Callithrix jacchus: one gene and its partner. The protein of the gene in region 1 interacts with the protein of each later gene in a biochemical or structural test. Links are inferred from orthologs where the notes say so. Each region holds a gene or a part of one and is shown in the gene's direction. Other genes may lie near its edges.

Evidence for each region.
Region 2: the proteins of SPI1 (region 1) and MECP2 form a complex in vitro, tested with the Homo sapiens proteins (2 studies listed by BioGRID). The link is inferred for Callithrix jacchus from reciprocal best matches to the Homo sapiens genes SPI1 and MECP2.

The regions. Positions count from the first base shown.
Region 1 is NC_133511.1:112,413,150-112,416,952, reverse strand, and holds the end of SPI1 (transcription factor PU.1), read left to right. Parts: intron 1-548; coding exon 549-711; intron 712-3,009; coding exon 3,010-3,329; 3' UTR 3,330-3,708; downstream 3,709-3,803. UniProt on the Homo sapiens protein: Pioneer transcription factor, which controls hematopoietic cell fate by decompacting stem cell heterochromatin and allowing other transcription factors to enter otherwise inaccessible genomic sites.
Region 2 is NC_133524.1:150,008,372-150,012,698, reverse strand, and holds the start of MECP2 (methyl-CpG-binding protein 2), read left to right. Parts: upstream 1-1,402; 5' UTR 1,403-1,435; coding exon 1,436-1,494; intron 1,495-1,965; exon of another isoform or gene 1,966-2,126; intron 2,127-4,327. UniProt on the Homo sapiens protein: Chromosomal protein that binds to methylated DNA. It can bind specifically to a single methyl-CpG pair. It is not influenced by sequences flanking the methyl-CpGs.

The DNA.
Region 1 (3,803 bases):
CACCAGGCCTCATGAGTCCCGCACCAAGCCACTTAACACCTCCACTGACCCTGCCTCTGCCCAGTGACCCTCCCTACTGACCTAACCCAGATCAGTGACTTCTGCTGACCTCTACCACCCCTACTGACCTCCAGGGTCCCTCCATTCACTCATCACACTGCCTATCAAACACCCTTCCAGACCCAACACACTGGCCCCCAGCACACCCACTTCTGACCCCAGCCCATTGTGGGGTCACACAGCACCTCCACCAGGAGGAGAATCAGGCACTGCAGCCCTGAACTGGGAGGCTCAGCTGGGAGTGCTGGGTGGGCTGGACGTCGGCACCCCTCGCCCCACAGCCTGCATTCCGTGTGCAGCACCTGGACTGGCCCCCACTTTTCCCTGGCTGTCCCACGCTTTTCCCTGGCTGTCCCCTAGTCTCCTGTTGCCTGCCATCATCCTCTGCCCTCTGCACTCCCTCTTCTCTCCCCAGCTGACCTCCCTCCCAGCCCACTGAGCTGTAAGCTGGCCCTTTCTGACTCCAATCTACTTCTCCCACCATCCAGGTCCCTTATGTGCCCCGGATGTGCCTCCCGTACCCGTCCCTGTCCCCGGCCCAGCCCAGCTCTGATGAGGAGGAGGGCGAGCGACAGAGCCCCCCACTGGAGGTGTCTGACGGCGAGGTGGACGGCCTGGAGCCCGGGCCTGGGCTCCTGCCCGGGGAGACAGGTGGGGTGCCTGGCCCTCCACCCCAGCCCCGCCCCTGGCTGTGTCTGTGCCCTGCCCCCACCCAGCCAGGCTAACTGACCCAGCAGCCATGCCACCGAGTGTATGTGTGTGTGTGTGTGTGCCATGTTTGCCAATGTGTGTGTTTTGTGGGGCTGTCTGTGGCTGTCTCTATGTGTGTGTGGGTATCTGCTGTGAGTGCATGCAGGCATCTTCATGAAGTGTGCCAGGTGTGGGTGTCTCTCTGTGCCCCGAGTATGTGTGGATCTGGGTGTGAGCAAGTGTGTGTGAACAGGTATGGGCAGGTGAATGTGTGTGAGTGGCCGTGAGTGGGTGTGTGTGAAGGTGAATGTGAGAGCTGGTGTGGATGAGAGTGGGTGTGGGCATGTTTGTGTGTGTGTCAGCATATGAATGCATTTCAGTGTGTGTGTGCATGTGTGTGAGGTGTGCAGGTATCACATGAGTGGCTGTCAGCAGTGTGTGTGCATGTGTGAGCATGGTGTGTGTGAGTGGGTGTGTGAGCAGGTGTGTGTAATATGTGTGAGTGGAGGTGTGGGAGGTGTGTTGTGTGAGCATGTGTGTGAGCAAGTATGTATATGTGAATGTGTATATGAGCGGGGGCATGTGTGATATGAGTGTGAATGGTTATGAGTGTGGGAGCAGGTGTGTGTAAGTGGATGTGAGTGGGTGTGAACATGCTTGTGTATGTAAGCAGGTTCAAGTGTGAGCAGGAAGGTGTGAGCTGGGGTGTGTGAGCATGTATGTGTATATGTGAGGTTTGCACATGTATCTGAGTGGATGTGTTTTAGCAGGTGTGAGCATGTATGAGTTCTTGTGTGTGAGGGGGTGAGGGCATGTTTGAGCATCTGCGTGTGTGTGTGGTATGCATGTGAGTGGGTGTGTGAACAGGTGTGACAGTAGGTGTGTTGAGTGTGTGTGAGAATAGGTGTGAGTGGGCTGGGTGCAGTAGCTCACACCTGTAATCCTAGGCACTTTGGGAGGCCAAGGCAGGTGGATCACCTGAGGTCACATGTTTGAGGCCAGCCTGGCCAACACAGCGAAACCGTCTCTACTAAAAATACAAAAATTAGCCAGGCGTGGTGGTGCATGCCTGTAATCCCAACTACTTGGGAGGCTGAGGCAGGAGAATCGCTTGAACGTGGGAGGCAGAGGTTGCAGTGAGCCGAAATCGTGCAATTGCACTCCAGCCTGGGCAACAGAGCAAAACTCCATCTCAAAAAAAAAAAAAAGGAATGGATATGAGTGGGTGTGATGTTCGAGTGTGTGAGCAGGTGTGTGTGAGCATGCATGAATATGCATGTGTGTGAGCAGCTGTGAGTGGGTGTGTGAGCAGTGTGTGTGAGCAGGTTTATGTGTTGGCAAGTATGAGCATTTGAGTGTGCAAGTGGGTGCCCGAGTTGTTGTGTGAGCATGTGTGTAAGCATGCAGGTGGGTGTGGGTGTCAGAATGGATGTATGAGCAGAATGTGCATGCATATGTGAGCAGATGTGAGGTGCAAGTGTGTGAGTGGTGTGGTGAGGTGTGAATGTGTGAATGAGCTGGTGTGAGCGTGTGTAACCACATGTGTGAGCAGGTGAGGTGTGAGCAGGCATGTATGAGGTGTGAGCGTGTGGTGTGAGCATGTGTGTGCAGGTATGAGTGAATAGGTGTGTGTGTAATATGTGAGCATGTGTGTGAGGTGTGAGCTTGTGAGTGGGTACGAATGTGAGATGTGAGCATGTGTGTGAGCATGAGTGTGTGTGAGACCTGGTGTGAGCTGTGTGGGCAGGTGTGTTTATAAACAGGTGAGGTGAGTGTGACCGTGGGTGTGAGCAGGTGTGAGCAGGTGAGTGGGTGTGTGCGTGTGAATGGTGTGAGGTATATGAGGATGTGTGTGAGCAGGTGTGAGTGGGTATGGGGCATGAGAAAGTATAAGGTGTGTGTTATGTGGGTGTGTGAGCATGTGTAGGTGTGTGTTGCGTTGTGTGGGTGTGTGTGGTGGTGCAAGGTGTGAGTGCATGTGTGGTTGTCGGTGGGTGTGAACGAGGTGTGTGAGCAGGTGAGTGGGTACACGGTGTGGGTACATGTTTGGGAGTGAGTGTGAACGGGTGTGTGCGAGCAGGTGTGTGTGTGTGCATTAGTGTGGATGCGTTGTGTGTGTACACCCGGCGCGGGCTGGGGTAGCCATTTCCCTGCCTTTCCCGGCCACCTCCGTTCCCGGGTCCCCGTGCGTGCGCGTGGCGGTGGGGGCGGCTCCTGCGTGGGCCCCAGGCCCCCTCCCACCGGGCCCTCCCACCGCAGGCAGCAAGAAGAAGATCCGCTTGTACCAGTTCCTGCTGGACCTGCTCCGCAGCGGAGACATGAAGGACAGCATCTGGTGGGTGGATAAGGACAAGGGCACCTTCCAGTTCTCGTCCAAGCATAAGGAGGCACTGGCGCACCGCTGGGGCATCCAGAAGGGCAACCGCAAGAAGATGACCTACCAGAAGATGGCGCGCGCGCTGCGCAACTACGGCAAGACGGGGGAGGTCAAGAAGGTGAAGAAGAAGCTCACCTACCAGTTCAGCGGCGAAGTGCTGGGCCGCGGGGGCCTGGCCGAGCGGCGCCACCCGCCCCATTGAGCCCGCAGCCCCCGCCGGGCCCCGCCAGGCCTCCCCGCTGGCCATAGCATTAAGCCCTCGCCCGGCCCGGACACAGGGAGGACGCTCCCGGGGCCCAGAGGCAGGACTGTGGCGGGCCGGGCCTCGCCTCACCCGCCCACTACCCCCCCCAGCCCCTCCCTACAGCCCGCTTCGCCCCCCTCCGGGACTCCGCCCCGGCTGCAGGAGGCCACCTGGGCCTCGGAGGCCACCTGGGCCGCAGACCCCACGGGGCAACCTTGCTGAGGACGACCCGGGGTACTTCCTTGGGAATCTCAAGTGCCTGTGTAAATCAGACCTCCCTCACCCCTCCCACCCATTAACCTCCTCCCTGAAAACAAGTAAAGTTATTATCAGTCCATCCTTTGCAGCACAGAGAGTCTCCTTTAAAACTTGCCGTGTACCTCGTGTGCTGTGGCGTCTTTTTTTGTCATTTGTCCATCGGGTGTTTACTGA
Region 2 (4,327 bases), on another chromosome or scaffold:
ATTCTCATAGTGGCCCCGGCTGCCTCTCCAATCACATTCCCTACCACTTTCCAGCAACATTGACCTCCTTGTTAGTCCCCAACATGCCAGGCATAGTCTCTCCTCATGGCCTTTGAACTTGCCTGGAATGTTCTTTCCCCAGATATTCATAAGGGGGAGGAAAATGAGGGTGAAAACCAGTAGCTATCTAAACAGCATTCCCTTCACTCTTACTTTCTTTCTTGAAGCCTTTATCACTATGTGAAATTACATATTAGACTTATTTGTATGCTAGTATGACTCTCCCGGCAAGAATGTTAGTCTGCTGTCTGTTCAGTACTGTGCACCCAGAACCTGGAAGAGTGCCTGGCACATAGCAGGTAGTCAATAAATGAATGGGGGCAGGCAGCCAAATCAGAACCAGGTTTTCTTGCTAAGCACAGAACTAACACAAAGATCATTGCATGGATTGGATAATGACTGGCACCAGGGTAAGGTCCCCTTAACAAACATCCCTGTCCTGAACGCCTGGTTGGCTAACACTTTTTCTATACTCTTATTTTCCCAAAACACAGTTGCTGGATCTCAACTGCAAATCAACTCTTCTAGGAAAGTGAAAAACTGCTGGATCTCAGCTCCCAAATCACATCTTCCAGGAAGACCTAAGTGCAGCTTTCTCTGCGCTCCTTATTCACACCTCCACCAAACCATCTGATCCAACAATGACAGGTGTCACGAGGCCTTGGCATGCACTCTCTTCCCCCGCCAGAGTTCTGCGAAGGCCAGGGTTGGGATTTGTCGTCAGTTTATTCCCCGCCCCTATGAGCGTAAGCACCCGGCAGGCTCAGATGAAATAATGCAACGAGTAGGCCTCTGAAACCAAGGCCCCTCAGCTGGAGCAACGTCAGGCTCCAGGGCGGACAACTTTGCTGCTTCTGCTGAAGATGGTGATATTGAGAAAATGCGGGTGCAATGCAACCCTTTTGCAGCGCACTCGATGCATCTGCGGACAGAGGGTTTGCTTGGGACGCAAACAACGTCCCAAGCCTACACCTTCACTTGCCCCAGCATCCGCAAGGGCCCATTAATCCTTAACATTCAAATTCCGCCCACTAAACCCCTCCGCGCCCAAGCCGCCTCTTTTCCCCAAACGACGGCCGAAAGCAGCCAATGAACAGCTAGAGGGGTCTGCCCTCTTTTCCCTGGCCGAAATGGACAGAAAATCTCGCCAATTGACGACATCACCGCTGAGACTCCCCGCCCCAACCCGGCCGCCCCAGCCAATGACGGGTGGGCTCGCAGCTGCGCCGGGGGCGGGGCGCGGGCGCGCAGGTGCAGCAGCGCGCGGGCCGGCCGGGAGGGCGGGGCGCGACGTCGGCCGTGCGGGGTCCCGGCGTCGGCGGCGCGCGCGCTCCCTCCTCTCGGAGAGAGGGCTGTGGTAAAAGCCGTCCGGAAAATGGCCGCCGCCGCCGCCGCGCCGAGCGGAGGAGGAGGAGGAGGCGAGGAGGAGAGACTGTGAGTGGGACCGCCGTGGCCGCGGGCGGGGACCCTTGCTGGGGGGCGGGGGACAGGGGCGGGACGTGGCGCGGGAGGGGCCCGCGGGGTCGGACGACACGGCTGGCGGATGGCGTCCCTCCTCTGTACCCTCCCCCTCCCTCCGCCGGTGGCGACTCTCCCCCTCGGCCCGTCACCCGTGCTCGCGGGTGACCGTCCTCGGCGCGGCCTCCCCGGAGCCTCCTTCGCCTGGCGCACCTCTTTCTCCCGCCCTCTGCGCGCATCCCGGCCCCCGGCCCCCGGCCCCGCGGGCGCCGCTGTCGCCGGGGCTTCGCCTGTCGGGGCTGCGCGCGCTCCTGCCCTTTTCGGGGCTTTGGGCCGCGGCGTCGTCGCGCGCCCGCGGCCCCGGTCTCTCCCTGGATCGCGCTCTCCCCTCTCCCTCCCTCGCGCGCCCCCTCTCCCGTTACTCGGCCCCCCCACCGGCGCGCGTGCGCACTTCGCCTCCCGTCGGGAGAGTGCGCCACAAGGGCTCCTGCGCTCTCACCCCCATCTCCGGGCTTTGCCTCCCCCTCCTTCTCGCCCATTCCATGAATTTCTGCCCCCACTGCGAGCGAGTCGGTCCGCCGGCTCCTTTCCCCATCTAGCAGGAACAAGTAGGTGGGGATTATTGTCCACAAAAGGGACTAGACATTGTGTTCTGGGTCCCACAACTCATCATAAAGGGGTGGTTATAGTTCCCATCAGGAGCCGTGGGTAGGGTGCTGTGCGTCCAGCAGCACCCGAGGCTCTTCGGCGCCTGAGGCTCTTAGGTGTGAGCGTGTCCTCAGGGTGCTCAGAGGTTCTTTGGGGGTGCTGTGGCCTCGGAATGTGAGCACCCTCCCATCCTACCCCCCCTTCGCCGGCGATCTTCCAGTTACATAAGTGGAGTGGGACATAGTAGGTAACGGGCTCTCATCGCCCTGGAGCGCTCCGGATCACCGGTACGAGATGGGGCAAGTTTATCGCGACGCTGTGGCTACTGTTCATTGTGCCCGAAAGGTTATTCTCTGTTGAGTTTGGTTATGACCGAATCACCCAAACTGAAACTCAGATGACTTTTGTGTGGCAGTGGCAATGTTTCTGTGGTTTTGCACTAAAGACTTAGGGTCATTATGAAGAGTTTAAAAGGATTGCTCTCGAAGGGGAGACCGTTTATGACATTGATAAGTATGGACCCCGAGGGGGAAAAAGCTCATTCTGGAATTGCTCTGTGGGGGTTGCTTCTGTTGTGAGTGTGTTCGGGTGTGGGTTGGTCACAGCAGAAATGGGCTCCACCACAAAATTGATATTCCTGACTCATGGTCAGGCAGATGTGTGCTTCTGGTTATTTTTCCAGGAACAAGAATGGGCTCTGCCGAGCCTTTCACAGGTTGTCTGTATGCTGTGTGGGATCAGTACCCCAAACTGTTGAGATAACAGGATCGAATTCAGGGCTTGGTTGGTAATCGAGGAACCAAACCTACTTGGATCTGGTATTGAGTGGCCTGAACATTGAAGGGCTCTTCTAAGTTATAGGCATTTTGTTATACTGTAAAAATGAAGTATATACGGCCTCGGTAGTATCATTGCAGTCATAGATAATTATCACTCTAGAGAATTTTGGATTCCGTGCCTGGGATGTTCATCTGTGTCTCAGCAATTTCAGTTAATAACCAGAGTCAGCTGACCTCTTGGGTCTTTTGAAATATGCTAGGTCCCTATAATAAGACAGGGTCTGGATTTTTTCATCTTTTGGGAATTTCCACCAAGGATTTAGGAAAATAGGCTTATTTATGGGCTTTTCAGGATTTCTGTTTCAAATCCCAGTCAGGAGTCTAGGAAACACTTGCTTTTATTTTCTTACCTGGATATGTCAGAACCTTAAATAACACAGTCAATCTAGAAGTAGTAAGTACGGTTATTAAAATAAGTCACCAGAGGTCACCCATTCGTGGCAGGTCAGCTAGGTGGCTGATCACTGGAATACAGTCACATCCCCAGGCAGACACACAAGCCTCACTTGATGATCACAGAGTTTGTACATCTCAGCTTGAGACATGACAAGTTAAGGTCTCTGCTTTGTTCTTCATAGTTGGCAGTTTGTCTCCCTGGTACCCCTCCAGTTAGCTGTTTGTCACACGCCTAGCCCTTTCAACAGCACAGGCAGCTTCCAGAGTATAGTTTTCTCTGCAGGGTGCCTGTTGGAGGGGTACCTCCCTTTCCATTGTCCTAACGGCTTGAAGAAAATGTCGAAGGCTTTCTTGTTAGCACTGGCCTATCAAACCTTTCTATTGCCTGTTATTAAAATTTTGCCTGGAATACTTTAGAGTACCGGGTCTTTGTTTCACCTGATTGGTAGGAGAGTATCATGCAGTCAGCCGTATTCTGACTTTTGTGCTGTTGAAATCCTGAGGTAGGTCTGGGGCCAGGCACAGACCACTGTGTGTTCAAAGAGTTAGGGTGCTTGCATTCTGTGTGTATGTGTTTGTGATTTCCAACGAGTCATTTCCCGTGCCTGCCCTGCCTCTGTGCAGTCTCATCTATCGGGGCAGGGAGGCATGCTGTGGAGTTTGGGAAAAAAAAAAAAAAAAAACTGGCTAGATGAATTTAGGATGTTGTCCCTCCAGAACATTCCTCCCATGTGGAGATGGAACGAGAAGTTCATTTCTTTAACCTTACTGGAGCCCGGTTTCCACTGCAAATGTGCCTGCTTGGAACTCTGCATGATAAATGACGTGTCCTGGAACCTGAAATCTTTTACTAAGGCTAATATCAGCAGAAATCTTTTAATTAGCTAAGAGCAGTTTGTTCTCAGAATGCCCAAGTTATCTCGGAG